7 linked regions of the Xenopus tropicalis genome follow. The main gene of each other region encodes a partner of the protein of the gene in region 7 in a complex. Links are inferred from orthologs where the notes say so. Each region holds a gene or a part of one and is shown on either strand. Other genes may lie near its edges. The genes, in order: ddx46, sf3a2, sf3b1, sf3b2, sf3b4, sf3a1 and sf3a3.

Region 1 (4,150 bases), on a different chromosome or scaffold from region 7:
CAGGAGCCATTTCACTATGGATGTCTGCGAGAAGGAATTCATGGAGAATGCCAAAATACCCTCTATTGGGTCTTGCATGGAATTATATACCAGTTTCATCTTAATTTTACAGGGATATGCCTTTACCTTCATCACAGAGGACCAGGCCCGCTACGCTGGTGATATTATCAAGGCTTTGGAGCTGTCTGGCACGGCAGTCCCTGCTGAACTTGAGCAACTGTGGAATGAATTTAAGGAACAACAGAAAGCGGTAAGATATTTACCCTTCCCCTATGCATTTGAATCCAGATGACTATGTACATGGGGGTAAAGTATTGTACACAGTTAAAGGGCCTGTTATCCAAAATAACTTTTAACAATAGGATTGTTTAAAATAAGGATTAATTATAATAGTTGATCAAGTACAAGGTATTGTTGTATTGCAGAGAAAAAGAAAATCCTTCTAGTAAGTAATTCACTTTAAAAATGAAATCTTGGGTGGCCGTACACGGAGTGGATCTTCTCCCAATATACCCACCTAAGGTGGGCGATATTGGGCTAATTCAATGGTTTGGTCCTAGGCGCCATCGGATCCCATCAATGAGCCAATGCGGCCCCTGATACGTAGGAAAATCAAACCTGCCCAATAGAAGGAGAATCTCAGAAGTGTGCAAGGCATTGTGGGAATTTGTATGGAGAGCCGGCTAAATTTTTTTCAGTTGTGTATAAAGTCAAATAGTAGTGCAGGTGGTAACAAGAGCAGTCAGATCCTGCTCAGTAGCAATAATATTCATAATTTACAATTATATTACAGTTAATTTTAATGTATATTACATAGTCGCTTAGAATAACATTTGTTTTATTACACCAAATGTTATATTTAGGATTACTTCCCCATCGATAGAAGTTTGAAACTTATGTTCTCCTTTTGCTCTGTGACGCAGCAAGAAAGTGCTGTTCACAACCCTGTCATGCTAGGACCCTTAACAGTTGAATCCTATACCTTTTATTCTAACTTTTATCTTTCTTTAGGAAGGAAAGATAATTAAGAAAACCAGCGGGTTCTCTGGTAAAGGCTTTAAATTTGATGAGACCGAACAGGCTTTGGCCAACGAGCGGAAAAAACTGCAGAAAGCAGCACTTGGCTTGCAGGATTCGGATGATGAAGATACAGCTCTTGATGTGAGTAATAAACATACAATCATGGTTATGTTCTCTTAGTAAAACCTGGAAAATATATTTGAAATTTTAAAAGGGATGTAAAGTCAAAATCTTAACTCCATGTTTAAATATAGCCCCAAGATAGGAAAGCACTATAACATGTTGTTCTAAATAAAATCAGATGGCAAAGCAGTTAAAACAGGGTTAAAACATAGCCAACTGGAGCTCTGTATTCCTTAATGTCTGCTGTGTAATGAAGAGTGGGCCTGTCTCACTCTCTGCTCATGTTTTACTTCCTTACCTGGGCCTGACCTGCGCTTATCAGCAAATGTACAATGACAATCCAGTAAACAATATCCTGTGCGTTTTTGTTCAAGTCTGGAATAGGACAGTCCCTGCTTTTTTTAATATCAGGATGGCCACTGGCCATGTAGGTTTGCAGGGGCTGTGAGCAGAGCTTATTTCAGAGGAATAACATAAGATGCAATATACAAAGGCTTCTAATTAAAAAAAAAGTTAGAGCATTTTAATGGGTTCATATTGCAAATTTACATCATTTGGTCTACTGTAAATAACACACACAAGGATTATGATTTTTGACTTCACATCCCCTTTAATATAGCAATGTGTAGCTCACAAGTGCCCTGGGCCATAAAGGCAGAAACAATAAATATCCGCTCAACTCAACTGACCTAAATGGGAACAAAGGTGTTAAGAGGCTCACTCAGGAGTGGTAACTCTTGCTACTGTAAAGATCTTATCACAAACTGGCAATCCCTATGAATTTACATTTCTTCTTCTTTAGAGACCTTTTGTACAGACCCTTTTTATAAAAGAGCTGACCCCGTTTTCTTTTTCTCATAGTATGACATTGCCACAGTTTGCCGTATTTGCAAGTAATCGTATTTGAAATTCAGTATGTACACTGTTTATCTGTTATGTGTTTATAGCATTTTGCATTAATTCAAAGTTTTATTTACCTTTTAGATTGATGAGCAGATTGAAAGCATGTTCAATTCGAAGAAGAGAGTAAAGGACATGGCGGGACCTGGTGGTGCGGCAGCAACCGGTGCCCCAGGAATGGTTGGTGGTGCTGTCGGAGCAGGCTCTTCAGCTAATGCAACATTACCCACTGCAGGCAATGCAGAGAAACTGGAGATTGCAAAGCGTTTGGCTAAGAAACTCAGCGTGAACAAGAATTTGGGAGCAGAAGCTCAGGTGTGTATATTTCCCTATAATTACAGGAAAGCCCACCTTAACTCAATTTTTTTTCTTTGACTTTGTCTAATGCAAATATTAAAGTACATGTAAAGCCTACATTTTGCTACAATGTATATATGTTGGGCACATCACCCCCACCCAAATGGCATCATATGTACTGCATATATCCCCTCTGTTTGCCAGCACCTTCACATTTTCCTCTGGCCATATTCCCTCTGACACATTATCACTTACATTTAAATCTGCTAACAGCATATGTGCACAAAAACCCCTGTTTATTGTACATATTATCAAGAATGCAGTCTCACACAGGCACACTGATAAAAAAAAAAAAGTTCTGCTTCGATTGAGCACTGTATTGGTTAAGCTGAGCTCAGGGGGGGAGGTTAGGAGAAAAAGAGGAATAGACAGCTAGAGGTGAGTTTCTATATATATATATATATATATATATATATATATATATATATATATATATATATATATATATATATATATATATATATATACAAGAACAGAGAGGAGCACACCCTCTGAGCAAAAAACAACTGCCCTCGGTGCTGGTCAAACAATTCAATAAACAAGCAGAGTACCGCACACAAAGGGACTTTATGAAAACAAAAAAGGTTTATTGGAAAAATCCGACGTTTCGAGCACTAAACTGTGCTCTTCCTCAGGGACAAACCTGAGGAAGAGCACAGTTTAGTGCTCGAAACGTCGGATTTTTCCAATAAACCTTTTTTGTTTTCATAAAGTCCCTTTGTGTGCGGTACTCTGCTTGTTTATATATTTATATATATATATATATATATATATATATATATATATATATATATATATATATATATATATATATAATATATATATATATATATATATATATATATATATATATATATATATATAATTTTTTTTTTTTTTTTTCCCCCTCATGGGTAGGCGGTGTTATATAACACACTAGGTGGTTTAGTGTTACTTAACCTGCAGCCTTCCTTATCACCTTCCATTGCCAAACTTCTAAAAAACCAACCTTCCATTGACTACCTTACAAGAAATCAACATGGGTAAAGAGGGTATTTATACAACAATGTACAGCCAGAAATGGCTAGTGATAAGTATTTTTAAGGTATAGCAGAGACAACTACCCTTGAAAATGATATACTGAATGGTCATTAATGCCAGGTTCTCCTGTTGATTTGTGCATTCCATTTGTGTAGTTATAGCAGTTTGGAGGAATGACTACAGCTTTGGTCATTTTTATAAATTTTAGAATGATCTCTAAGCTTTCAAATTGCAAGCTTTAATGCCCAAGGCCCTCTGTCTTCTGTAGCATTCATTGTTTGTATGTTTGCTGTATACGTCCTATTGTACATCACAGCAGGCTGAAGTGGTCTTTTAGAAATGTTTTAATAATAAAGTTAATAAGATGTTGTTGCATTTCATCACCAAATTAATTGTTCCAACAATTTAGGGTTTTCTTGTATTCCGAGTCCAAACAAATCATTTGAAGCATTAATGGCAAGGACCCAAAACATGTAGATAAAAGTAGATGGAAAGGATGGACCCTGAGAGGTTTTGTTGCTTTTGGGCATACTGTGTCTGAACAGATAAAGAATGAAGCCACAAGCAAACTGACAATCTTTCATATATATATACCTACATACATGACTTGTGCTGTAAAATGGGCATGAAACTCCTCAGTGACTATGTTTACTGTATATACTAAATAGGGGTAATTTATTCCCTGTATGATGTATTTGGGTGAAGATCACTTTTTATTGAAAGTAGCTGT
Region 2 (4,845 bases), on a different chromosome or scaffold from region 7:
TGGGGCTAAAAATGCAAAGCAGTGGTATGTTGTGTTGCAAAAGTTCAATAGAATGAGCTGGCAGGTGCGTTTAGACACTAATGGGATTATGTAATAAAAAGCACTGAGTTTGCCCAGGTGCTGTGACCTATAGCAACCAATTAGCAGGTTGCATTTACTGGTCACCTGTTTAAAAGAAAAAATCTTATTGGTTTAAAAGGCATAAAGGTCATTTTCTTATCGCATAATTTTATTTTTTTTATTGTGACATGCTCACTCATTTTGACTCTCTTAGATGCTATTAAGGGGTATTCAAGAGTTACACAAATGCATAGTATAACCCACTTTCAAGTACATATGCAACTAACTGAAAGGATATGTATTTACTCAAAAATGCCACTTGCTTCTCCATTCATTGTTGGTATCTTCTCTTTCTGTAGGGGAGTTATCTGGCTCATACACAAGGAAAAAAGCATCAGACAAATTTGTAAGTTAAATGTGCTGATTTTATGCATTAAAAAACACAGCAATGTCAAGTCAAAGTTTCCATTATTTATCTAAAGAATGTAAACATAGCCACCCCCAAACTGTACTTCAGTTGAACGTTGTGGTGGGAATTCCTTCCTAAACCCAAACTTGACAGATAATTGTAGGAAAGGAAACCACCCAACCCATTTTTAATTCCAACCAAAACCAGTCCTCCATGCATCTTGTCAGGGTTTGTGCACAACATCTACAGTTATTAACCGCTTGCTGCAGGTAGATCATAAAAGGTATGGTGTTTGCAGTCAAGGGAGTAACTGCCAGAGCCATAGGTTTTAATGTTCTGGCTTTCTCCATTCTCTTAACCTCTCAGATCGAGAGGTGTGGCAGAGGAATGGTTAATTCTCCTTAATTTTAAACATTTTAAGTTGTGTCAAATTGCTGTACTGATTTCTCTGGCACTGTCTTATTAAAGATCATTTTGTGAACAGTTGCAGACATTCTTACTTTTTTTTTTCCTTTTGATCAGAGCTCGCCGAGCGGCCAAAGAAGCAAAGGAAGCACCAGCACAACCTGCCCCAGAAAAAGTAAAGGTAGAAGTGAAGAAATTTGTCAAAATTGGTCGACCTGGATACAAGGGTGAGATTAAGTGTTGTGTCAATATGTCTTTTATATGAATGCAGTGGTTTATAACCCTGATTCCAACATAATAATCTTTTTTGGTATCCTCAGTCACATGTGGATTACCCTTACATTTAATAGCCTATCTTTTTGTTTGAAGACTGGTTATGCTAACATTTGGCTTAATCATCTGCTTGCAACAGTCCTCTGCACCCATCAGTGCAGGTATATCACTAGGTGCTTTCAGATGGATGTCAGAATTATGCAGTCACACTTTCATCTACCTTTTGTTGCTGCTGTTAGAATGTTTTAAACATTTAGAAGTCCTGTTAGCAAATGTTTCCAGCATTAGTGATGTTTTTTGCACTGATATTGATTTGGCCACTCAGCATTGCAGCTGTTTCTGCCCTGTATCTTGAATGTGAAAGAGTAAATGATATTATTTCACTGACTGATAATAAAGCCATACATTTATTTATTTTCTAGTGACTAAGCAGAGAGATCCAGAAATGGCCCAGCAGTCTTTGTTGTTTCAGGTAATAATGTGATTTACTGATATGCCATCTCTCTTAGACTCTATTTTAAACAAATAATTTAGATTTTTAAAAACAAAGTCCCTTTTTCTGTAATAATAAAACAGTACCTTGTACTTGATGCCAACTAATATAATTGTTACTTATTGGAGACAAAACAATTGTATTTGGTTGATTTAAAGAAAACCCTGGGTCGCAAGCAATCTGGATAAGAGGTTCCATACCTGTATTACAAAAAATTCTATATTACTGATGACAACAAGTATTGTCATAAATGTTACCCCTAAAACAATAACCAATATGTCAATGATGCTCCAGATGCTATAGGGGTGCCCATGCTGTAATGATGCTTCAGCCCTGTCTTTCTTTCTCTGCAGATTGACTATCCTGAGATAGCTGAAGGTATCATGCCCCGACACCGCTTTATGTCTGCATACGAACAGAGGATTGAGCCCCCAGACAGACGATGGCAGTACCTGCTGATGGCTGCAGAGCCCTATGAAACTATTGCTTTTAAGGTAGGATAAGCTATAGAGCAAGCCTTTCTCTAGCATTTGAAACCATAACTTTGAAAAACTCGCACATACAAAACCCTTCTCACCTTATAACACAATTATATATTCTTCAAATACGATTCAGTAGGCGTACCAAACACCCACCATTTCTGCAAAATGACATATTTTTAGTACAGCCTGCACTAACCTACTGAAAATTGACAAGAATTATTTTATCCATGTATCCAATTGTGGAATTTCTACAGCACTTTTTCTTTTATCCAACAGGTCCCAAGTCGAGAAATAGACAAAGTGGAGGGAAAGTTTTGGACACATTGGAACAGAGAGACAAAACAGGTAATATAAAATACATCTTGTGCAAAAGGGGGATCCCTCACGTATGTACCCTAGTAGTCTTAATTACATGTGTTCATTTTGTGCACATTTTGCATATTTCCTCCAAGACAAGATAATTGCCTGACGTGTGATTGTGTACGCAGTGCCCAGGTGATCACTATAAAAGTCTATGGAAGGGCAGTTACAAGCTGCCCACCAAGCTGCAAATTATACAGGGGTGGGTGGCAAAACACCTACAGTCCTGCAGTATGCCATAGGGATAGTTAATTTAATAGTTTTGCCTACCCTTTTTTCTTTAAATGCCAAACAGGCTGAGGTTTAACATTGTGTGTATAAATATTCTTTTTTTATATTATTTAAATAAATGTATAGTAAAAAGCCATAAAGGAACAATAAATAACCCCCCAGTCCTGTCTTTAAGGTAATAATGCATAAATATCAGACAAATACACAATCACCATTAAACAACATTGTAGTAGGTTAGTAGTAACTGCAACAAAGGCAGTATATTCTTTGTTTATTATTACATACAGCCACCGGGTATAACCAGTTACCACAGGCATAGGCACTAAATGGAGAAAATTGCAGCATAATGTATTTAAGCCTAAATGTAAAAAAAAAAAAAGCCAAATATAGGACTTCCCAGATATAAACTGTATAAAGTAAAACACTAAATAACTATTTGAATGTGATGTACCCCTTATTGAAATGGATTACATCACCACTCCATTTTTAAATAACAAATATCCCCACTGTAAAAAATCCTCAGTCATAGTGCCAAATATCAGATCATCATAGTGTAAGGCTAAGGTTATATCCACACGAAAAAATGTTGCCGGAAACCGTTTGGTAACACTCTAGTTTTTCTACACATTTCTGAATACTTCTGGATTACCTTGTAAAGGCTTGGAGCTACAGTATGTGACCTTTTCAACACTTTTTCCTTTGCCCTCTCTTTCAGTTTTTCCTACAGTTCCACTTTAAGATGGAGAAGCCTCCACAAGCACCCACTTTGCCTCCAGCACCACCTGGTGTTAAAAGACCTGTTCCTCCAGCCATCAATGGGATACAAGCACGTCCTCCAATGCCTGAGAATATGCCGCCTCCTCCTCCAGGAGGACTGCCTATGCCCCCAATGCCACCTGGGACACCTGCACCTCCTGTACCGCCACCACAGCTTCCACCTGCCCCAGTTGTTCCTCCTCCTGGGGTGCACCCTCCTGTGCCCCCACCTTCTCTTCCTCCTCCTGGCGTACCACCACCTGGTGTACCACCACCTCCTAATCCTGCTGTGCCTCCACCTGGTGTTCCACCTCCAGGCATTCCTCCTCCAGGCATTCCTCCTCCTGGTGTACCCCCACCACCTGCCCCAGGAGTGCCTCCGCCCCCTGCACCTGGTGTGCCACTCCCTCCAACGCCAGGGGTTCCACCTCCTCCTGCCCCAGGGGTACCTCCTCCACCAGCGCCAGGTGTACCACCTCCAGCACCTGGTGTTCTCCCACCTGGCCCTATGCCTCCAATGATGAGGCCACCTTTACCTAGCGATGGACCAACAAATATTCCTCCACCCCCTCCCACCAACTGATGTATTTCTTTTTCAAAGATAAGCATATTTTTCCCAGTTTTTTTTATTTGTGGTATGTTTTAAATCATTAAAAAAAAATCCCACCTTTGAAATAATATAATGTGGTTTCTCATTTTGTGTGTATGTAGTAGAGTTAGTTACAGGAAGCAAAGCTATAATAACAAAGATTTGCATGGTCAATTGAAACAAAACATATTTGCATTGTTTTGCATTCTGTGCAAATGGATTGAGGCCTGCAATATCCTACTGGGAATTCCTGATTTAATATGTACTACAGAGTGGTGCATTGGTTATTCCAGCAATATCCCTGACAGAGTTTCCACAATAGAGGTTTTGTGAGTTGTCAAGGACAAGGTATGGGAGAGTTTCACAGGGGTGGCTTTCTAAAAATAAGCTGTGAGGGATCCCATTCATTTTGCAAAGTAAAAAAAATTAAAAACATGGGACAGCACAGTTTGGGAATGCGCATCCCACAGTGAACTCAAGGTCTTAGCTTGGCCAAAATGCGGGAACCTCCCAGCATCTCGAACAAAGCTTGGCAGTAAAGGCATCACTAATATTTTCTGAATGCAAGGAGGTATTTGTAACATGCCTTTCTGCACAAATACGTGTGTGAAGCAAGAGGATTGATGCTGCATTACCTTTCATGACTGAGATGCTACCAATATTGTTTTTCAACTACACTGTAATGGGAATTGTAAGTTTAGGTTGGTGGCTACTTATGTTGCCAATGATGTGTCTTACTTTATCAAGCAAGTCAGTTCCAAAGGTTGCAAAAGAAGATTATAAAGCA
Region 3 (4,690 bases), on a different chromosome or scaffold from region 7:
TTATTCTTACATTAGGGCACCCTAAGGAAAAGAACTGATCAAGATCAGAGAAATTATAAAAATACACACTGCTTTTACAATATTGTAGTATCTTGGGTGGGGCATACTTCAGTCATCATTGAAGACTTGGAAGAGGAAAACCCTGCAGTAGAGAAAACCACTGGGGAACAATAATTTGAAGGACTGACTGTGATATGGGGACAAACTAGCAGTAGAAAGTCTATTTTGGGGATGTAGAGTTTGAGAGTTGGCCCTGGGTGAAGTTGCTAATTAAGGTCCCAACAGCAACTTTATAGTCCCTCAAACAAATGCTGGCATAGGTGATGTAGCTTTAGGGCTCCCCTGTGTCAGTGAGCACCACTGTGCGAACTACAGAAGATGGGAGCAACAGAATGGTGCTGAGCACAACTATACTTTAGTGCAAGGAGCGCATCATGGCCTTTACTAAATTGGATTTTGCGCATAACCGACTACAGCCAATTTAGCAGAATCTGATCAGCAAGGCAATCATGATGACCTTTAATAAATGGGATTTTTTACATAACTGACTGGAGCCAACTTATTGCAAGCTGTACACTTGCACAACAGCAACTTTATCCCTCAAACAAATGCTGAAATTCTTTTGGCATAACTTTGCTGCTTTGATTTAAACAGGCCAGTGTGGTAACCCTGGCACTATCAGCTGGTTTGGAGGTGGTGTAGCTTCAGAGCTCCCCTGAATCAATGGGCGTCACTGTGCAAAATACAGAAAAGGAGACAGGAGTAACAAAAAGTAGAAAATCTATTTTGGGCATGTAGAGATGGAGAGTTGGCCCTGGGTGAAGTATCTAATTAATGACCCAACAGCAGCTTTATAGTCCTTCAAATGCTGGCGTAGGTGATGTAGATCTAGGTCTCCCCTGCATCAGTGGGTACCACTGTGCGAACTACAGAAGACGAAAGCAACAAAACAGTGTTGAGCGCAACTATACTTTAGTGCAAAGAGCGCATCATGGCCTTTACTAAATTGGACTACGGCCAATTCAGCAGAATCTCAACCGTACACGGGGCTGCTTCGGACTGTATATATTTCCGTTTCATGTCCTTTTAATTGTGGTGGGGCTAACCTATATGAACCCACCGCTTTGCGCAAAAATTACCTGGTAAGTGTAAGTAAGAGGTGAGATCAAGTAAGAGCCTCACTAACTGTAAAATGCTGCGACGTATTGCTGAAAATATAATGCATTTTAATTTTACTATTTATAACGTCGCTCACGGTACCGAATAACGGTACAAAACCTACGGATCACAAAACGTACTCCCACCATGCAGGATCTTACTCCCGGAAACCTAAAGCATAAAAACATTCTGTGACGCTTCTGGGCGGCCACCAATAGAGACCGCCCATTATTCTACGTATTAACAGAGCATGCGCCTAGTTACCTACGGAGGAGCTTTGGTGGCGTGTTGCCTCTTTTTTACGGTTTTACAAAATGGCGAAAATTGCGAAAACACACGAAGGTAAGAATAGAATACTAATGTTTCGGTGAAAGGGATAATTTGTAATTTCGGTTAGTAAGTCAGCCTTGTATACATGAAATGATGAATCTATAAACTTTCGGGAAACGTGAGAAGGCCTTACTGGCTATTAATTCTGTGCACACGCGAATAGTCAATGGAGTTGGATTAAAACAAACAGGATTTCGGTTACTCTGTCCTTTTAAGATTGTAATATATTTATGAATTCCGGTGACCTGTTGTTTTATTGTGGACCCGACGGAGGGTCAGAGAACGTCTTTTAATGTACTAACCTTTGTTTGTTTTTGGAGGCGAAACGTTTCTATTGGTTGTGTAGAAGGCAAGGAAGAGCAGTGGAATGCGAGGACATTCAACGTGTTTAGTTGCCCAAGTGATTTCAGATGTCAGTGGGCTGATGATAAAATACTTCAAATAGTCCGTTTGATCATTTTGTTTGTTGACCTGGAGTTAACCATACAGTTTGAATTGCCTTATGTGCCTATTTACTAAGGCTGAATTGCCTTGAAGGAGAAAGAATGGCTAAATCATTGGGGATGCTAAATCTTAGGTACCCCCCCAGTAATTGTAATTGCTTAACTTGTACCCCTGGAAAGGGCCCCCCATCCCCTTTAGCCTTTCCTTCTCCTTTGAGAATGTAAATCGCTGGCTGGATGGCATATGCAGCGCCGCAATTTGCCGAAGTTTCCTCTCAAGGCAACTTTAGCAAATTGCAGCGCCATGTATGCCACCCCACTGGCAATTTACATTCTAGCTGGTGGGATGGCATTGTGGGGAGATTTGTCGCCGCTCTTAGTAAACTGTTTTTTTCAGGGTGGCAGGAAACACAACACTGATCTGGCCAACATTGATAACTAAGGTATTTACCTGCTCTCCTAGGTCAGGGAAAATAGCAAGTAATGATAGCCTGACCTGTGTGGTGCATGAGGGATAAAAAGCTGCTGATCATTGGCAGTTTATTGGCCCGTGTATGGGGCCCTCAGACAGGACTGCCCTAACAATATCTGGGCAAGATTTCAATCAGAGAGGTTAAAAAAAAAAAAAAAAAACCCAGTCAGGGGGAGGAGTGCAATGGTTGTTGATGCAATCCCCGACTGTTTGCATCCCATAAATGTGATCTGAACGTTTGGGCCTAGAGCCAAATGATCAGATCAATCCGATATCCCCTACCTGTGTAGGTAAATTTTCGAACTTTCCTCTACTACGAATCAATGTAAAAAGGCTGTACAATGGTGGTGCCTGTTTGTCGCCACTGTTGTTAACACATTTGTTTTAGTATACAAGTAAAGACCTTGGTTTTCATACTGTAGGTTCTGTTTGTGAGTGAAATATCTGAAACAACAAGCCTAGAGAGTATAGGATCCATTGCCTGGAAAACCATTATCCAAAAAGACCATCACCCATAGAATTAATTTTAAAAAAATTCAAATTTTTAAAAGTCTACTTTTCTCTTAAATTATAAAGTAGCCCCTCATCTTCTATTCTCTTGATTCCCTGCACATACTTTGTGCTGCTGTCAGATACTGAGCTTGGGGACCGACGCACAATATACTGTATATATACAATATAAATGTAACGGTATAAGGCTGATTAGTGATTCATTTGGATTCAGTTAACATGGCAGCTGTGAAAACAGTGCAATTAGCAGCAGAATTTAATAACCAGACCTATAGCATTAGTTTATATGACAGGCCAGCCTTTTTTCTGCTTCATAATTTGCAACAACCCCTCAGCTTAGCTTCTCAACAGCCGCCCTAGCATGTGCACTGTCCTGGACAGTTCTAACAGAATCCAAGATGAGAAGCTCCTGTGACAACTGTAAAGACCTATATCATTGCTACTATAGAGATGCTGAAACTTTTGACTAGTGCAGTCAGTTTACTACTATTTTTAGGGTTTAGTTCTCCTTTAATACTTATTAGAGGCACAAAAATCCTGTGTTTTTTTTTTAGTAGACTTTAGGTATGGAGATCCAAATTAAGACACCATATCAAGAAAACCACAGTGTCTTCAAAATTGGGGTTATGTATAATCTACATGCTTAGATTGTGAGATGTTCAGGGCAGGGACCTCCTTCCTACTGTGTCTCATACCACATGGCACTTACTCCCTGTGTATTTATACTTGTATAAATAACACTTGTCCTCCCTGTGTGTAATATTTTATATTGTAAGATTGTACAGCGCTGCATACCCTTAAAAAAAAAAAAAAAAAACAACTTAAACTTAGTCTTCTCCCATCCAAAGTTAATATAAATTTGTCCTATACTAAATTTCCTAGAATTTCTTTTTTTGAGACTCTATCCTAATTTACATATCAATTATTAGCATTGAGCTGTTTGCAAGCTTGTTGTGAGTTTTTTTTTTTTTAAATTGTTACCTTTTCTTTATCTCTGGTTTCTAGTTGCTAACAAACTAATGTACCATTAAATATTTTAATATATTTTTCCAATCAGATATTGAAGCACAGATACGTGAAATTCAAGGAAAGAAGGTAGCCCTCGATGAGACACAAGGAGTTGGTCTTGATTCTACTGGATATTATGATCAAGAAATTTATGGTGGAAGTGATAGCAGATTTACTGGATATGTCACATCTATAGCAGCAAATGAGCAAGATGATGTAAGTTTGAATAATTTTGTTTGTTTAAAGAAATGTCAGTAATGTTGTTGTTGCCCTATCCTATACTATATATCTCATATTTTTCCCATACAGACTTGAAAAGGGAGGAAAGGCACAGGTTACATAAGCAGATAACAAATAAGCAAATACAATGGGAATCTTATCCAACTAATTTATCTATTTACGGCAGACGGGGAGATTAGTCGCCCGCGATATGCCACCCCACCGGCTTGAATGTGAATTGTCGGTGGGATGGCATACGTGGCGCCGCAATTTCGACTTGCCTTGAGAGGAAACTTCCACGATTTTGGGAAATCGCAACGCCGCATATGCCATCCCACCGGGGATTTATATTCAAGCCAGTGGGTTGGCATATCGGGGAGATTTGTCGCAGACGACTAATCTCTTCGTCTGCCATGGCCCTTAAAGGAACAGTAACACCAAAAAATAAAAGAGCTTTAAAGTAATAAAAATATAATGCACTGTTGCCCAGCACTGGTAAAACTGGTGTGTTTGCTACAGTATCAGTACTATAATTTATATAATAGGCTGC
Region 4 (4,150 bases), on a different chromosome or scaffold from region 7:
TGGAGAGATATAGCAGGGTTGGAGAAGAGAAAAGAACACTGTGACCCCTGGATTTTGGTTCATCTTCATGTGAAGCCCAGGTTTTATATTCAGTACTAGATTTGGTATATTCTCTCTGCTTCCTTACTAGGAGCAAGAGGCAATTAGAGAAAATGTATTTTATGTTCTGACTCGGGGCTATTGAGAAACTGTATGGGAAGTTGTCTTGTACAAGTATAAAGGCTGAGGTGGGGGTATAATTGGGGACATAGCGGATAAATACATAGAGAGGAAAGGATGAATGCATAACTAACACAGAATATAAATTAATGGCTCTAAATAACTCTGGCCCATATGTTTTAGTAAATATTAGTAAGGGGGAAAAAAATTAAAGTTAACTGTCTAAATGGTGTATGTATTGCCTTTTGAAATGTTTCACTTAACACAACCATATATTTACATTGTTGTTCTTCTAGGTGACACTTATCGATCAGGAAGTCTCCACGACACGGTCACCCCTTCTTCCTAGAGGTAAATATTTATATATTTCTACACTAGAATAATTTCTGTCCTCTGGGGGGGAAATTGGTGTACATTCGCAATCAAAAAGTAGGTAAAGCTAGCCTATGATTAAGTGTCAAGTGCACGAAATGAGTAAAGCTATTATGTGGTCTAATTGTCTACAATAAAGCTTCTTTGATTTTTTCTACTCTTGCCTGCTCGTGGGATCTGTGAGTACCTGCTATATGTATTGAAGTATATCTTAATTGTAGGTACCCTCCCCATAAGCTCAATCCCACCATTGATGTCCTCCACAAGCCGCCCTCGAGTCCAATCACAACCTTCTGGAGAGGATTCCAAGGAAGTAAGTCCAAATTTTTGCTAATTTATTTGCTTTTTACGTTTTGTTCATGGCATTGTCTCTTTCCATTTTCCTCAGTTTTCCTCTTTTGTTTATTATTTTATGTGCTGCATATTTTCTGCACTGCAACCTTTTTATCATGTTCTGATTGTTTCTGTTTTTCTTAAAACAGGCAGATGACAGCTCAACAGGACCTAAAATCCCTCAGGTCCTTGAAAAGATTCTTCAGCTTAAGGAGCTCCGGCAAGAAGAGCTTGTATCTTTGCCAGCAACTACTGGTAATCTCTCCTAAAACTTATAACAGTGCCCAGGAAGTAATTATTGCTGTTACCAAATAACTATTTGGTCCTCTTGTCATGGTTTCTTATTAGAGGACCTAATACAAAACCCAGTATATGCACCTATGCATTCCCCTTATATGCCTGTTTGAATCCTCACTTCAAAAATAACCTTTGAATGCATGTTAATTTACTCCCTGATTGCTCATGTCATTTAGATGCCACTGAAAGCATATTCAGTTTATGGCATTTTTACTTTGATATATGTGTGCCTGAGTTTGTTTCTATGACGGCAATTATCCAGGTCTACATTTAACAACTGCAGCACAATCTGCAAAAAGAACTACAGTAAACTTTCTAGAATATCTGCATTTAACAGGGAAGTATATACTCTCTTTCATAATAAAGTCAAGTAATAGGGCTTGTGCTGAACATATATTTTTCCTATTGTTTTAAGTGAGAAATATAAATTGTTTCTTGCATTAAACAAAAAAAATTGTTTATAGAGAGCTCCCTTTGAACAACTTAAATTGTTTACAGGAGACAGGTTGAGTTCTACAAAAATATTAGGAAAATATGCATTTTTATCATTAAAGAATAGACAGGTCATATTCATTGTGGTTATGTTTATCAGAGCTGTATATAGGTATATACTACCCCTTTAAGAGAAACGAGAAGTGCTTATTCAGATGACAATCCACCTTCAGCTCATCTGAGCTGAAATATGTAACTGAAATGTGTTGAATTATTACTCTTCTATACTGATCTATACCTGTCAGCCATTTTCCGACAAATTATAAATGCTTTTGCTTCTTAAAACATTAAGGACCCTTAAAGGACATGTAAACCCCACACGAAAAAATGTAATCAGTGAACAGCCTCTTTGAAATCTTTCAATACCTGCCACACTGGTTGTCCAGAGGTTAATAGTAAGGCTGCAGCATCCCCTTAATCAGTTAGATTGCCTTCTCCTCCTGTTACCCACTTGTCCCCCTCCCTCAGGAATTTGCTTTGGCTGTTGGCTTGTGGGCATGCTCAGTTGTTCTAAACTCAGATTACTAAACATGCCCTCCAGTCTAGCAGCCAGTGAAGAGATGGCATTGCTGGTTTCCATAGAAACTCAGCTCTAGCTGTCTGCTTCAGGTTTTTTTTCTAACCTCCTCCCTTAGCTGAAATGTATGCTGAATAAAGGTCTTTGTGTGTGTGTGTGTGTATGCTGTTTGCAGATTTAAATGTAACTGATTATGTATCAGAGGAAAAATGGCCACCAGGTGAAAGCTTCTATTTTCTTTAGGAAAATGTGATGGTGCTGGCAAACAGAGGGGATATATGCAGTACAAATGATGCCATTTGGGTGGGGGAGACATGCCCAACTGATATTTGCATATAGGCAAATGTAGGCTTTACATGTCCTTTAAATGTATGCTAGTTTTGTCACTAATAGCAGCCTCCTCCTTTTTTAGCTGTATATGCTAAATCGTTAAGAACCAAACAGACAACACCCAGTAAGGCCTTTAATGTTAGGTTGTGAGTGTACTCTTCTTTCATACCAACAGTTTGACCATTTCATTTTAAATATCTCCTAATATTTTATCTCTACATTCCCCTTTATGTAAGGCTCAGCCTATAGACAAATGCTGGCAGAGAATCAGCTCTTACCCTTAAATCAGCACTCTTCTGTGCCTGGACTCAGGCAGAAGCAGTGGTTCTAGGTGCAAGCATAGAAGAGTACTGATTCTCAGTCTGCATTTATTCCCGTGTTGAGAATCATCCCAGTGTGCCCTTGGCCTAAAGAGTGAGGCTTTTAAAAAATATGCAGATAGTGAACCTACTGCTTTTTTTTTTTTTTTTTTTCTGGCGGGCTTTGATTGCTTTACTACCAAAAATGATATGGTTTACTAGGTAAAACAACTGTTAGTTGATTTGTTGCCAGTCCAAAAAGTTCTGTTTTGTGATGCTGCTTAGAGTATTGCTGAACATGCTATGCTATATGCTATGATGTACGCAGTAATAATCTGAGATTTATCTTTGTTTATTTTTTGTGGCTTTTGAATTCTTTAGCTTATAGTTCTGCAGCTTTCCAGTTTTTAATTTTACCAGCTATCTGGTCGCTAGGGTCCGGTTAACCGTAGCAACCAGGCAGTGGAGTAAGTGATAGGCTTGAAGATAAATAGAAGAAGGCATGAATAGAAAGACAAGTAATTAAAAGTAACTACAATAAAACTTTAGCCTTACAAATCAATAGCTTTTAGGCTGCTGAGGTCAGTGAACCCCATCCAAAAGCCAGAGAGAGGCAGAAAAAGAAGACAAGCAATTCTCAACTATAAAAAATATATAATTTCCCTTTATATATTCACATGCATGTAGTTTCGGTATTGCTTTTCAACCACTTGGTTTCTTTTTTTCAGAGGAGGAAGACATTGATGCAGACTCCCGTTACGTTAATACAGCTTCAGAGGCAGAAGAGGATAATAATGTCCTAAGTAAAAAAGAGGTCAGACATTATTCTGAAATCAAACATGTCTTTGTATATTGTATAATTTATATTGTTTTGTTAACATTATAAATAATTTTTATTTGTTTTGGTAAGAATTTACCATAAAGCCTCTGAGGGCATGATTCACACACAGGCAATAGTAGTAGCCTGAACTTCCTATATGTTATTATTGTGTATTCATAATACTGTTCACTCTTGTAGTTTTTTTAAGACTGATATGCAAAAGAGTGACCTGTAAGGTTTTTGTTTACAGAAAGGCAGAATTTGCTGCTGCAGTGTCTGTTTCCATGTTTGTGTTTTTCAAATTAATTATGTTTGCAGAAGGTTTTATATATATATATTTGTTGATTTGTGTCTAAAGAAAAAAAATCGAAGAAGGAGAAACCGAAAGAAGCGAACACGTAAGAGAATGGTTGGCTCAGAATCTGCAGTAGTTGATGAGCTTAATGAAGCTGCCGAACCTGATCTTGCAGGTGGAAAACTGGAGATAGAATATGTGACAGAAGAACCTGATATCTATGATCCCAACTTTAT
Region 5 (4,896 bases), on a different chromosome or scaffold from region 7:
ACAGACAAAATATGGTACATCACCCACTCCAAAACCCCTGTGCAGACACAGCAATGAATCCTCCTCCGCTGCTCCGTTGGGTACAGCACTTTATATAATGTGAGGAGTTAAACTATGTTGCAGTGCCATCTTGCAAGTCATGCATAATGGCGTGGCAAGATCAAGACATTTGCCAATCCTGATTGGTGGGTAGGGGGCAGCAAATCAGTACTGTCCCACAAAAATCAGTAGTTATAACCCATATACTGGGCAAAATCAAACTGATCAGATGGTTATGATCCAACAACTGTATCACAACCTAGGACTATGGGACAATGTTGTCAAAGCTGCCAGCTTATACTGGGGAGGCCAACCAAACTGTCATCTTACATTGTCCTGTGTACAATCAGGATAAAAGAGAATAAAAGCCTGGTTAGTACCTTTGTCCCTTCCTAAACCCCACCAACAGGGACCCCCAAACCTGCTTAGTTGTTGTATCTGGTTAGAAGAAGAAAAGTGCAGGTTTGGCAGCTGCCATCTTGGGCTGCTCTGGCTCCCCTCACTACTGCTCCACCAGTCTGCTTTTTATATCCAGGGGCAACAAACAAGGAGTTTTTGGTACCAAGGCATTCACCAGGCTTTCAGTTACCTTTAACATTAAAGGTTTAAAAATATACATCAGACACAATAGTCAAATCTACTATTTGGCCAATAAGACTTTCTTGTCTCACTAAATTCTCAACCAACAGACATCTCTATGTAAAAGGGGAGGAGCATTGGTCTTTACATGTGACCCTTGTATGTTCCTTTAGGGTGAAGACACACAGAGCTACTAGTAGCAGCTACTTTTTCACAGCTACTAAACGCCAAAAAATCCCCTGCCATAGACAATACTGAGAATTCCCTCTGCTAAGGGCTCTGGCACACGGGGAGATTAGTCGCCCGCGACAAAACTCCCTGTTCGCGGGCGACTAATCTCCCTGAGTTGCCTTCCCCTGCCATCCCATCGGCGACAATGTAAGTCGCCGGTGGGATGGCACACGCGGCGGCGCGATTTCCCGAAATCGCCGAAAAAGATTTGGGAAATCGCGCCGCCGCGTGTGCCATCCCGCCGGCGACTTACATGTTTGCCAGTGGGATGGCGGGTCATGACAACTCGGGGAGATTAGTCGCCCGCGAACAGGGAGTTTTGTCGCGGGCGACTAATCTCCCCGTGTGCCAGAGCCCTAAAACACATTGAGACTGTTATCAGTAAATGATCAGCATTGTCTATTTAAGTAGCGACTACAAGTAGTTGCTACTAGTAGCTCCGTGTGTCTGCACCCTTAGCTCACACCAGGGACCCTTTAATAATCCTTGGTGCCCATAGAAACAATGAAACACCCTCTATGCGCTGACAATACTGGCACATTTACTGTAAAATCTTAAAAAAATATAAAAATAAATAAATAACCCCCTCAGAGTTTACTACACGTTTACTTTTAGCTTTGGGGTTTCATTACAATACAAATATCTCCGCCGGAAAGCATTGACTGCATAAGGCATGTTAATAAAGTTATTCCATCTAAAAAAAAAAAAAAAAAGTGGTTGCGGAAGTAAGCGTTCTGAGGCCGGAAGTAGGGAAGCGGAAACTGAAGCAGCGAGGTGGCTGAGTGGTTGGCGGCGAGAAAATGGCGGCTGGGCCGATATCTGAACGGAACCAGGGTAAGGAACGTACAGACTGCGTATGGGCTGCATGGGGTGATTGGGGCGGAGGGAACTGTTATGCCGGGGGGGCTGGAAGTAGGGGTATCCGGGGTTTACAGGGAACAGTAAGAGCTCAGAGCAGGGGGAGGCGGGCTGCACTGTGTGCATGAGGTGCAGGCTCCATCTCTGTGCAAAAGTCATTTGGACACAAAGCTGTTCTTATAATATCGGCAGCCCGGCCTGTAACTGTACCTGAATCTACACAGAAACATTGATCTGCTTCTTCCCCACCAATACAGTTTATAGTGCTATCCCCATAAACACTGTGTATAATGCACAGAACTAATGCTAAGCAGCCTCCCTATATACATTCATTACACATTTCCAACGTTTATAAAGTTTCTTGCAAAATATAATTGTTAGCGAAAGCCGTCTGTCTTATTATAGTCTACACTGCTGGTTCTGACTTCTGAAACAATGTAACAAAGGCCAGGGCTATTAAACTATGAAATGGTTTCAAGAATAAGAAAGGGGCAGATAGATACTACTTCCAATAGCAATAGCATTTACCTTTGAACCACTGATTTTTTTTATTACCGTATATACTCGAGTATAAGCCGATCCGAATATAAGCCGAGGTACCTAATTTTACCTAAGAAAACTGGAAAAACTTATTGACTTGAGTATAAGCCGACCAGTTACATGGGAGTAGGAGAAACAATAGGTTACCTCAAAGCTGTTCTATCTCATGGTGGCGATTTGGGACATCAGTGCCCGACAAGACAAGGATGAGACACCCACAGAATGGCCACCCAGCACCCTGCTATATTTCAATGAGACCCAAAGCAACTCCCGGTGTGCAAGTGAAGCAGCGGTACCTTGCGGTGTGCCCTGTCAGCAGCGCCAGAGGATCCGTAAGCCCAGCATTTACGCTGCTCTTTAAATAAGCGGCGGCGCTCCTCTTAATTCCAACCTGTGTGTCTGCAAGGAGCCGTCATGTAATCGCCTCGCCAGCTGCCGTGTGACAAGGGTTAAAGAAACAGAGCGCTCTCGGCACAATTATTGCAATAAGCAGCACACCCGACAGCAACAAGACACCACGGTCCGGGAGTTTGGCGCTGTTTGGCCGGTCCTTAGAGTTGCGGGACAACCTCAATAAAGTCCGCGAACGGGTCCTTCGCTATCTGGCGGTAGTCCGAGCGCTATCTTCCGCTACGTCACAGGTGTGCAGGCAGGTTCGCATGCAACGAGCAGCTGCGAAACCATTTACCGTATATATACGCGAGTATATGCGCGAGTATAAGCCGAGGGTTCCTTTTTCAGCACATTTTTAGTGCTGAAAAACTCGGCTTATACTCGAGTATATACGGTATATATATATGTTGGAAAGTTGATGAAAACTTTCTCTCGTTATCTTTCGGGTTTATAGGTGGATATCTCCAGGGTTGTAAAGGGAAAGCTAAACCCTGTAGCAAGGAGAGTTTGTATTACAAGGATTAAAGGAACAGTAACACCAAAAAATGAAAGTGTATAAGGGCTCTGGAACACGAGGAGATTTGTCGCCGGCGATTTTTAAAAGAGCGATTTGGCGACAAGACACCAATGCTAAATCAATGGAAATTGCCAGCGTCAAAACATACGAGGCTACTTCAGATCGCCTGCTGTTTCAAGTCGCACACAGACCCTTTTCTGAGCGACTTGAGGGGGGTTAACTGTTGAGTGTACCATGGGTAGCAGATCGCCTGGAGCTCAACTCGCATGAAATCTCTTTGAGGGTATTCTCGTGGCGACTTGTCGCCAAAGCGCCAGGGGGAAAAAACGCAGACGACAAATCTCCTCGTGTGCCAGAGCCCTAAAAGTAACTAAAATATAATGTGCTGCTGCCCTGCACTGGTAAAAGCTGTGTGTTTGCTTCAGAAAGTCTACTATAATTTATATAAATAAGCTGCTATGTAGCCATGGGGGCAGCCATTCAAAGGAGAAAAGGCACAGGCACATAGCAGATAACAGATAAAACACTATTGTATTCTACAGAACTTATCTGTTATCTGCTATGTAACCTGTGCCTTTTCTCCTCTTTTCCAGCTTGAATGGCTGCCCCTGTGGCTACACAGCAGCTTATCATATAAATTATAGTAGTGTTACTGTAGCAAACACACCAGTTTTACCAGTTCAGGGCAACAGTGCCTCGGATCTATGATCTGTGCATTTATTCAGAGTGTAACGGGGATATTTAAAGAGAAGGTGGAATAGCTGATTTGCCGTGTACTATAACTTTTTTTTTTTTTCTTTTTGGATTTAGATGCCACAGTGTATGTCGGAGGCCTGGATGAAAAGGTGTCTGAGCCTCTTCTATGGGAGCTCTTCTTGCAAGCAGGGCCTGTAGTGAATACACACATGCCCAAAGACAGGGTCACGGGGCAGCATCAAGGTAAGATTGGCACCTCTTAACCATTATTTCTTATAGCTGTGTATAGGCAGGAATGGAGGGGAATGCTGTGGAGAAGTTGTTGCAATTTGTAACAAGAATGTTTTAGTCCCTCCTCCCCTGCCAGGATTTCAAATGATGCAGAAAGAGAAGAACTGTTTTGCAGCTGGATTTCAGCATATAAAAATGGTATTTATTCATGCTTTTTGAAGGAACAGATTACAGGGTATTTTGGGGGTTTCTGTGTGCGGGAAGCAATAGTTTCCACATCGTTTGATCATGGTTAAAGCAACATATCTACTTGGTCACTGTCTCTTCCCATTTGCCTGAATGGGGAAACACCACAGGTGTCCTGGTGAAAATGTGTGCTGGATCCAAAAGCATCAGGGTGAAGACACACAGAGCTACTAAGTAGCAGCTACTTTTTCAAGGCTACTAAACCCCAGAAAATCCCATGCCATAGACAACTGAGAATTGCCCCTGCTAAAACACACGTAGAGACAATTATCAGTAAATGACCAGCACTGTCTTTTTTTTTTTTTTAGTAGCCACAACAAGTAGCTGCTATTAGTAGTTCCATGTGTGTTCAACCTTAAGGCTGAAGACACACAGAGCTACTAGTAGCAGCTACTTGTAGCAGCTACTTGTCACAGCTACGGGAATAGACAATGCTGATCATTTGCTGATAATTGTCTCCGTGTGTTTTAGCAGAGGCAATTCTCACTATTGTCTGGCAGGGGATTTTCTGGCATTTAGTAGCCTTGAAAAAGTAGCTCTGTGTGTCTTCACCCTAAGTGTACATG
Region 6 (4,894 bases), on a different chromosome or scaffold from region 7:
TGCTCTTACTACCCCCCCCCCCCCCCCCCCCCACCTGCAGCAGCACCAGCCTGGGAAGCAAACCCAGTGATTCTATTTTAACATTTTTTTTATATTTTTATTATTTTTTTTGTCATACATGTAAGTTAAAATTACACAGCTGTCACAATTCCCAGAAGTCTTTAGACACAGCAGCTCCACTGGAAATTTTCTTCACATTTTTGAGACTAAGTAGTTGAAACTAAATGGGCCTGTAAGACCAAAAATGGAACAGTTTTCACATACATTCATATTTATATTTCTGGTAAAATCTATGTTTTTGCTTTAGAAGGAACTATAACATAAATTAAGAAAATATTCTATCCATGTGGGCAGTCATGCAAATTCTAATAGGGATGTAAATAAGGTTGCCGCCTGGCTGTCAAAACTCATCCCTAAAGCCATTCTTATTAATGGCAAATGGGAGAAAAAAAATGATATAAAGGCTGATATATTTTTCTATAAAAGGTGTCGACCCTCATGTAGAGCTCACATTTGCAAAGCAGAATACAAGTGAACAGGGGGTCAATGTCATTAATGGCTATAGGTAAGATATAAACCTTTCTGATATAAATAAAAGCATTGCTGCATATATTTATTTGTATAGTTTACGGATGCACCCAATTCAGAATTTGGTTACGGAATCTGAACCCTTTTCATTCATCCAAACCCTATACGTCACGTTATCTCGCAAAAGATGACTCTCTACATACTATAACATTTTCATGCCACTGTGTTACTGGTCTTTTTAAAATAGAAATTAATCACACTACTTCGAATAAGACTGACGTTATTAGTGGTGCTTGCAAAGCATCACTTCTATTATCTCACAGGCTTATTATTATTCTTCCGTACAAAAGTTCGGCACGGAACTTGTCCCGCACCGTTTGTCGTAGACCCATGAGTGAGGTGTCAAATCGTGTGGCCTATTCGGGAATGGGGTGCTATGTCTTTTCTAAGGGGTTGGCGGTTAATTGCCCCTGCAGGGGGCAATTAACTGGCCCAAAAATCCCATAGACTTAACATTGAGGCCAACTTTGACGGATTGTAGCGCAGAGAGGGAATTTTTTAGAAACATGAAATTTACCACATTTGAAGAGGTTTGCAACCTGTGTCAGAAGATACCCCGCACAAGGGTATATGTTTTACCCCCGGGGCAAGAGAGGTCCTCAAATTTGCCCCATTGACTTATAATGGGGATTTTGGCAAATAATTAGTTTGTCGTAGACCCATGAATGAGGTGTCAAACCGTGCGGCTTATTCAGGAATGGGGTGCTATGACTTTTCTGAGGGGTGGGCGGTTAATTGCCCCAGCAAGGGGCAATTATCCGCCCATAGACTTAACATTGAGACCAAATTTGAATGAGTCCCGCACCGTTTGTTGTAGACCCATGAATGAGGTTTCAAACCATGCGGCTTATTCGGGAATGGGGTGCAATGACTTTTCTGAGGGGTGGGCGGATAATTGCCCCAGCAGGGGGCAATTAACCACGTTTGTCGTAGACCCATGAATGAGGTGTCAAACCATGCGGCTTATTCGGGAATGGGGTGCAATGGCTTTTCTAGGGGGTGGGCGGTAAATTGCCCCAGCAGGGGGCAATTAACCGAACTGAAGGAAACATTGTAATATTGGGGCACGAGTTTTGCCACGGCAAGCACCACTCACATTTTCTTCAGGAAATGTACCTCTCTAGTTGATTTCATTGCATTGCTGCTAATAAAACACCTACCTAATTTAGGGACTGCATACGTTAGCTGCGGCTCTTTCAATCGTTCGCATGCCTTAAACCCCCCCCTCCGTGTGGCATAAAAAAAAAACTTTTGCCCCTGTATAAACTTCGCGGTACCGAGGCTATGAGGATAACCGAATGCGCTGGCAACGTCCTTTCAGGTTTCTTCCATGCCATACATTTAGGTCTACGTCTCAACTATCTGACGCCGAAGCCAACTCCATGGCAACCACGCACTCAGAGCGTCTGAGTGGAAAATCAACGTGGTTCCGCAACGCAGTGTGCAAGTTACATCCTGGAATATACCATTCAACAAAAAAGGGGGGTAGGAAGTGACGCGCTTACACGCTATGGCATTAGACTAAAAAAAAGGAAATATGTACAGTTAGATTCTGTAGTTGTTTCTATTGACTTAAGATAAAGACTATGTATGCTACGTTTTTGCAGGCGGAACGCTGTAAATAATAACACTCAGCTGGGATTATCCACGAGACGCCTACCTTGATTCTGCGCAGCCGCCATTTTGCTCGTCTGCCGAAGTTACCGCTTCTGTCCTTGTTTGTGGGATTGGAGTGGGCACCATGCCGGCCGGACCAGTGCAGATAATGGCGCCGCAGACACCGGACGGAGGCCAGGTACGGGACTCTGCATCGCGGCAGAGGGAGATAGAGGTTCTCCGATTATTCAGGGATTTATGAAAAAGAGTAGGCCTTGGTCATGTGGAGTAATGATCTGTCTAGTCTATTTCTCTGAGTAAATAAAACAGGTTCATCGTAAGCAGTTAAAGCAGTGGGTCTAAAGCTGAAATAGTTAAATAGTTATAGAGCTAAGGTTCGCAGAGCGTTGCCTGGGGTGGGGTGTAGGGTAGACGTGCAGAACTATGCTCTATGGGGATCTTTAAGCAAAAACACTTGCATAATGATAGAAAATGAAAGAAGCAACTGTACAGTGTATTTAAAGAAATGTTAGACGTTATTTGTAAATATAATTGCAGCTACAAGTGGTATTTGTTTTGACTCTAAACATTGTATCAGAAGTTCTAATTTAGCTGACTTCTGTCGTATTGTTTCAAGAGTCAGAACCAGAAACGCAGAGAATGCGAGCAGCCACTCAGGTAGAGTTTTCAATAACATTTGTGTTTACAAGTAATAGTCAATATAAAGCAAGTCTGTAGGGCATTGGATGGGCCTTAAATTTCAAGTCTTCCCTGGAGTGAGATGCTGCAGCTTGTTGGTAAGGGCTGTTTCTGCACTGCATATTCCTTACCCCGAACTATAATGTAAGCCAGAGATCTGACAAATTTTAGATGATATTGTATTTTTCTGCTAATGAACATTCAAGCCTGTGACAGGTTATACTGCCCCTTTGAACATTTTCCAGTCTCTGAGGTGTCTTTGTCTGAGGCATCTGCTGTTATTTTATGTTTTTTAAACATATATTTGTAATACAGTGCAGTTAAATCTTAGACAGTGTGGCAATTATTTTTCATTATATGTGTGATGGGCCAAGATACATTTTTATTTATATTTTCTGCACATTAATTTGTCATTATGTTTATCACTTTGTTTATATTATTTTGTTTGTTTTTTTTTTTTTTGCAGCAGATGGAGGAGGAGAAGAAAGAAGAGGTAGTTCCATCCAAGCCTGTTGTTGGAATTATTTACCCTCCTCCAGAAGTCCGAAATATAGTGGACAAAACCGCAAGCTTCGTAGCAAGGTGCCTCCTAAAATATATTCTTGTTGTAGATAGTTTTCAAATAAATGTTTTTAAATTTGCAGTTATGTACTAATTTAAAGGACTAGCAAAACTGCACACAGGAGTGTATCAGTTTGTTAGGCATCCTCCAGTAAAAGAAATCGCTGTTCTTTTACCTTGGGCCTATGTGCCTCTTTTATTCTTAAAAACAAACAAGCCTGGTTCACAGTTTCATGGAAGTGGTGATAGTATTGCTAAACATAGTGTGGAAATTTTCTGGTGTTTAGCACAATCAAGACATGGGTTTAACACTGCATAAAAATTTTGGCAGTTTAACAGAAGTGTTGAGGTAGGTAGGCAGGGGATGAAGCCCTGAGCAGCAGGAGGAGTTAAGTTTAATATTTTAATGTCCATTCTCCAGCTGAAATATGTACATCCCAAATCATATAACCTTTATGAAACCAATTAAACCATTTCCCTGGTAGTTATAAGGCCACTATCAGACATTGCATGAAAAAATCTTATAGATAAGATGACACATCAAATTTTATATAATATCTTTAAAAAAGTATTTCCCTTTCCCATAAAAACACGAATTGGATACATAATATCTTTCAATTCTTGATTCTAAATGGAATACAAGGATACAAGAAGGGGCCCCTTACCTAATGCTGACAATTTGCTACCAATTAGGGATAAAATAAGTAATGGGTATCACCCAAGTATATTTTTGTGCTTGGGTGATAGCCCATTACTTATTTTAGCACTAATTGGTAGCACATTGTCAGCATTAGGGAGGAGCCCCTCCATGGTTCCTTGTATTCTATTTAGAATCAAGAATTGAAAGATATTATGGTGAAATGGAATAATGATGGCTTTTTAGAAAGTGTCATTAAGGCTAATGCTCTACATAGAGATTAGTTGCCCACGATAAATCTCTGCACCCGTGGAGAAAGGCATACGCATCACTCATCAATCATTTTCCGAAGTCGCGCAAACTTTCCTCCTGCAGGCATTTTGGGGAGATTAGTCGCCTGTGGTACCAGAGATTTATTGTGGGCAGCTAATCTCTTCTTGGGACATTAGCCTAAAGCCAGTTAAGAGACGGTGCTATTGACATTTATCATGTTCAGTATTTATCTACTGTTAATCAGATAATGAAATATGTGTAGGCCTTGAAGCCTGTTGACAAAGCTTTTGGATAGTCTTCTAATATCGATGGTAATAATGGATGGGTAAGTAGATTTGTGCAGAGTTGCTTTAAGTATTCAAGTTTCCTTAAGTCTCATCAATGGAATAACTATTGTAAATATAATAAAACCTTAATAACCTGTTAAACCGCCTAAATTTTCCTTGGTGTTGCATGATCACAATTTTGATGACAGTGAGCACAAAGACTTGAGATACATAGACACATAATTTTTTGCCTTTTCTGCACACTGATTTTAAA
Region 7 (3,476 bases):
ATATATGTCACAAAAATTGTATGTGACAACCCATAGCTTATTTCTTTATTAAAAAGAAGACAGAATGAAATTGCTATTGGACATTAAACACTTCAGTAAAGTACAGGATAACAACCTGTTTGATGGCTTATTCATAGCTGGTTCCTAGGAAATGCATGTAGGATAAGATGGAGTCATTACAGAGATGCTGTACATTATATTATATTTTAACCAGAAGAAAGCGGCATTCAAGCAGCATATTGTCAGTTGAACTACACCACCTACCATTGTTTTTTATAAGATAAAATTAGTTCAGCTCTAGTTGGAGGCCTATAAATCCATTTCATGGCATGGTGAAATGCAGCATTTTGTACTTTTTTTTCCCTTCCTGTGTCTGACCCAGTACTGACTGACTTATGTTTTCTTTCAATCCATAGGAATGGCGTCATGCTCATGGCATGAGATGTCTTGGCATTCCAAACACTGCACACTTTGCTAATGTAACACAGATTGAGGATGCTGTGTCCTGTAAGTAAAGCTTTTTCTCATGAATTCAGTCTAGCACATATTTCATTTCATCAGTCACCTATCTTACCAATTGTTGCTCTCTGGAATTTTGCAGTTATTAATTGTATTAAACATTAGAGAACTAACCTATAATTATAACTAACCTATTAATGAGCAATTTTGCATATATTACATACTTGTCTATTCATTCACTTATAGTGTGGTCAAAGCTGAAGCATCAGAAGGCCTCTGAAAGATGGCAGCCTGATACAGAGGTGAGTCCTTACTGTATTAACACTGGCTTAAACTTAGACCTCTATAATTTGCAGGATGGTAAAGTAGCCATTTCACTTGCTAATGAATTAAAAATTAAGTTGTAAATGTGTTAAGTAAGGTAAGTGGTAATGTTTTCTGCTTTTAGTTCATTTTAGTTTGTAATTTCAGAAAGTCATTTACTGCAAATCAAGACTACTGGGATTTATCAAAGTGCATACAATTCCTCCTGAGCATATAACCAGATATGTCATGGTTATTGTATGCAGATGTGCAAAACCTGTTGTTTTCCGCAGTCATGGATACCTAACACAATAAATAGAAACCAAAAAAAAAAATACTTAAACATTGTTGGGCCCATATCATATTTGATGTCCTTATGAAAAGTGCTTTGCAGTTTTGTTTTTAAACGTATCCAGTTTTCATAGAAATATTTGCAGGGGTAATTGCAGTTCCAAACAGGGGTAATTTACCTTTAAAATAACTTTTTGTAGGCTTTAGACCAGTGATGCGCAACCAGTGGCTCAGGGGCAACATGTTGCTCACCAACCCCTTGGATGTTGCTCTCTGTGCCCCCAAACCAGGTAGTTATTTTTGAATGCCTGACTTAACAAGATTTACTACCAAATAAAGCCTCCTGTAAGCTGATAGTGTGCATAGAGGCTGCCTAATAGCCAATCTTAGCCCTTATTTGGCACCTCCATGAACTTCTATACTGCTTGTGTTGCTCTACAAGTCTTTTTACATTTGACTCTGGCTCATGAGTAAAAAAGTTTGGGGGACCCCTCAGTGATGTTCTGAGACAATTTGCAATTGGTCTGAATAATTTTTCTTACTCTTCTTACTTACTTTTCTTACAGCAGCTATCTAGTTTCTGTGGTCCCAATTTTGTGAGATTAAATATAAACCTTTAGGCTAAAGTCCCACGGGGGGAATCGGTGGTGGAAAGGCCTATGCATCATTTTGTTTTTCCAAAGTCACACACAGTTTCCTCCTGCAGGCAAAACGGGGAAAAAGGGAGCAATGCGTAGGCCTTTCAACCGCCGATTCCCTTTATTGCTAGTGGAAAGGCTTTTTGGGGACATTAGTCACCCACGGTAGCAGAGATTTATTTTGAGCTGCAGCAAAAATAGCTATATAGTGTTTTTCTTTGATGTAGTGACTACCTATCCCCAAGTAACTATGTGCCACTTGTGGTACAGGTATAGGATCCATTATCTAGAATGCTTGGGACCTAGGGTATTCCAGATAAACTGTGTTTCCATAATTTTTAACACTATAACTTAAGTCTATTAAAAAAATCATTAAACACATTAATTAAACCCAATAGGATTATTTTGCATCCAATAAGGAATAATGATATCTTAGATGGGCTCATGTAAAAGGTTCTGCTTTATTACAGAAAAAAAGGAAATCAGTTTTAAGTATAATGCGCTTGTATTTTTCTGGTAAAATCTTATTTTTCATGACATGCTTTATATACCTACAGTTATTCACTGCCGGATTTCCTTATGTACATGTTTTATATGTATGAGACAATGAAACACACTGTGCCTCTATTGAACAGTGTTTTTTTTTCTGTACTTGAATAGGAGGAATACGAAGATTCCAGTGGGAATGTTGTAAATAAGAAGACCTACGAAGATTTAAAGCGTCAAGGACTTCTGTAACCATGGACATTTTGTTTCTAACTGCCCTGTTATGGTTCTGGATTTTCATGTTTGTTAATGTGACATTTCTATTTGCAAAGCTGTTGAACGTTTCATCTTTTACAAAATGCAAATTTTTTTTTTTTAATTAAAAATGTGCAAAATTTTCAATGCATTAGGCCAGTTTGTTTATATCGTTTCATATTTTGTAATCCTGCTCCATTGATTCATATTAGATGTAGTGACTGGGAAGAAAATAAGGGAATCCAAGATTCTTAGTGATATTTATTTAGAGAACCATGGTCTAATATTTGATTTACTGAATTCTGGACCTGGTCAATTCTGGATATGGTCAAGAACAAGTATTTGCCATTGCATTATACATTTCGCTAAAATCTTCACTAGCATCGGGCAGCCATTCCATTGTTTGGTGGACTTATTTATCTGGTGGTGCACATTTTCCTCTGCAGGGTTTCAGCCTATCCAATTTCATGGTTGGGCAGCCAGCAGTTAGGCAAACCTGAGAGGGAACCTCCACCTCTGTGTCTGTGAAGGCAGATCTTTGATTGGCTACCCACATCCTACTGTGCTTCTGTGGCAGGAGTCCACCTCTTATTTGTAAGAAACCATTTAAGCTTATGTTTAAACCAGGAGCCATATTTATATTGCCTACATAGTTATGGGTATTTAAACAAACATCCTACTTTAAAGGCTTTCATTTGTTACATATTTTTAAAATAAACAGATCATTTTTTTTTGTCAAATAAAAGGTTTTGCTCATTAGCAGCCTTGTTCTTCATCCATTCTAAAGTTACTTTTGGACCAACACAGTCCCATAGGAATGAATGCAGAGTGGGGAGAATTATACGGAGATGTAACGCTTTGATAAATCTGCCCCTAAGTATAGTTGCTTTTCTCTTGAACAACTCATAGGGGGGAATTCACAAAAGTGGTGATATTGAGACAAAATAAAAGTGGAGATAGATTTGTGGGATTTTCCACCTAATTCACAAACCTCTATCTCCACTTTTGTGAATTTGTCTTTTAAGCAGACTGTTTTCAAATTTT

What was found.
Region 1: sf3a3 (region 7) and ddx46 share a complex: the UniProt entries of both Homo sapiens proteins name them as parts of the 17S U2 SnRNP complex. The link is inferred for Xenopus tropicalis from reciprocal best matches to the Homo sapiens genes SF3A3 and DDX46.
Region 2: sf3a3 (region 7) and sf3a2 share a complex: the UniProt entries of both Homo sapiens proteins name them as parts of the SF3A subcomplex of the 17S U2 SnRNP complex. The link is inferred for Xenopus tropicalis from reciprocal best matches to the Homo sapiens genes SF3A3 and SF3A2.
Region 3: sf3a3 (region 7) and sf3b1 share a complex: the UniProt entries of both Homo sapiens proteins name them as parts of the 17S U2 SnRNP complex. The link is inferred for Xenopus tropicalis from reciprocal best matches to the Homo sapiens genes SF3A3 and SF3B1.
Region 4: sf3a3 (region 7) and sf3b2 share a complex: the UniProt entries of both Homo sapiens proteins name them as parts of the 17S U2 SnRNP complex. The link is inferred for Xenopus tropicalis from reciprocal best matches to the Homo sapiens genes SF3A3 and SF3B2.
Region 5: sf3a3 (region 7) and sf3b4 share a complex: the UniProt entries of both Homo sapiens proteins name them as parts of the 17S U2 SnRNP complex. The link is inferred for Xenopus tropicalis from reciprocal best matches to the Homo sapiens genes SF3A3 and SF3B4.
Region 6: the proteins of sf3a3 (region 7) and sf3a1 are in contact, whole or in part, in an NMR structure (PDB 2DT7), measured with the Homo sapiens proteins. The link is inferred for Xenopus tropicalis from reciprocal best matches to the Homo sapiens genes SF3A3 and SF3A1. Residues at the interface, in NP_006793.1 of Homo sapiens: Glu80, Phe81, Glu83, Phe84, Tyr85, Arg87, Leu88, Ile91, Lys92, His95; in NP_005868.1 of Homo sapiens: Ala161, Phe162, Asp165, Val166, Leu169, Thr170, Phe173, Asn177, Phe181, Gln184, Leu185, Lys188, Phe195.

What each region holds. Positions count from the first base shown.
Region 1 is NC_030679.2:26,177,522-26,181,671, reverse strand, and holds part of ddx46 (probable ATP-dependent RNA helicase DDX46), read left to right. Parts: intron 1-112; coding exon 113-250; intron 251-1,011; coding exon 1,012-1,161; intron 1,162-2,127; coding exon 2,128-2,358; intron 2,359-4,150. UniProt on the Homo sapiens protein: Component of the 17S U2 SnRNP complex of the spliceosome, a large ribonucleoprotein complex that removes introns from transcribed pre-mRNAs.
Region 2 is NC_030677.2:102,622,991-102,627,835, reverse strand, and holds the end of sf3a2 (splicing factor 3A subunit 2), read left to right. Parts: intron 1-419; coding exon 420-466; intron 467-991; coding exon 992-1,101; intron 1,102-1,569; coding exon 1,570-1,619; intron 1,620-1,993; coding exon 1,994-2,134; intron 2,135-2,398; coding exon 2,399-2,467; intron 2,468-3,428; coding exon 3,429-4,052; 3' UTR 4,053-4,147; downstream 4,148-4,845. Other genes in the region: amh (muellerian-inhibiting factor), read left to right, coding at 4,699-4,845. UniProt on the Homo sapiens protein: Component of the 17S U2 SnRNP complex of the spliceosome, a large ribonucleoprotein complex that removes introns from transcribed pre-mRNAs.
Region 3 is NC_030685.2:45,929,612-45,934,301, reverse strand, and holds the start of sf3b1 (splicing factor 3B subunit 1), read left to right. Parts: upstream 1-1,380; 5' UTR 1,381-1,472; coding exon 1,473-1,500; intron 1,501-3,970; coding exon 3,971-4,137; intron 4,138-4,690. UniProt on the Homo sapiens protein: Component of the 17S U2 SnRNP complex of the spliceosome, a large ribonucleoprotein complex that removes introns from transcribed pre-mRNAs.
Region 4 is NC_030680.2:40,088,337-40,092,486, reverse strand, and holds part of sf3b2 (splicing factor 3B subunit 2), read left to right. Parts: intron 1-455; coding exon 456-510; intron 511-752; coding exon 753-844; intron 845-1,013; coding exon 1,014-1,119; intron 1,120-3,527; coding exon 3,528-3,613; intron 3,614-3,977; coding exon 3,978-4,150. UniProt on the Homo sapiens protein: Component of the 17S U2 SnRNP complex of the spliceosome, a large ribonucleoprotein complex that removes introns from transcribed pre-mRNAs.
Region 5 is NC_030684.2:128,887,145-128,892,040, reverse strand, and holds the start of sf3b4 (splicing factor 3B subunit 4), read left to right. Parts: upstream 1-1,613; 5' UTR 1,614-1,649; coding exon 1,650-1,683; intron 1,684-3,967; coding exon 3,968-4,096; intron 4,097-4,896. UniProt on the Homo sapiens protein: Component of the 17S U2 SnRNP complex of the spliceosome, a large ribonucleoprotein complex that removes introns from transcribed pre-mRNAs.
Region 6 is NC_030677.2:144,333,789-144,338,682, forward strand, and holds the start of sf3a1 (splicing factor 3A subunit 1), read left to right. Parts: upstream 1-1,980; 5' UTR 1,981-2,073; intron 2,074-2,086; exon of another isoform or gene 2,087-2,195; 5' UTR 2,196-2,329; coding exon 2,330-2,419; intron 2,420-3,349; coding exon 3,350-3,465; intron 3,466-4,894. UniProt on the Homo sapiens protein: Component of the 17S U2 SnRNP complex of the spliceosome, a large ribonucleoprotein complex that removes introns from transcribed pre-mRNAs.
Region 7 is NC_030678.2:83,812,531-83,816,006, reverse strand, and holds the end of sf3a3 (splicing factor 3A subunit 3), read left to right. Parts: intron 1-416; coding exon 417-507; intron 508-705; coding exon 706-761; intron 762-2,351; coding exon 2,352-2,429; 3' UTR 2,430-2,583; downstream 2,584-3,476. UniProt on the Homo sapiens protein: Component of the 17S U2 SnRNP complex of the spliceosome, a large ribonucleoprotein complex that removes introns from transcribed pre-mRNAs.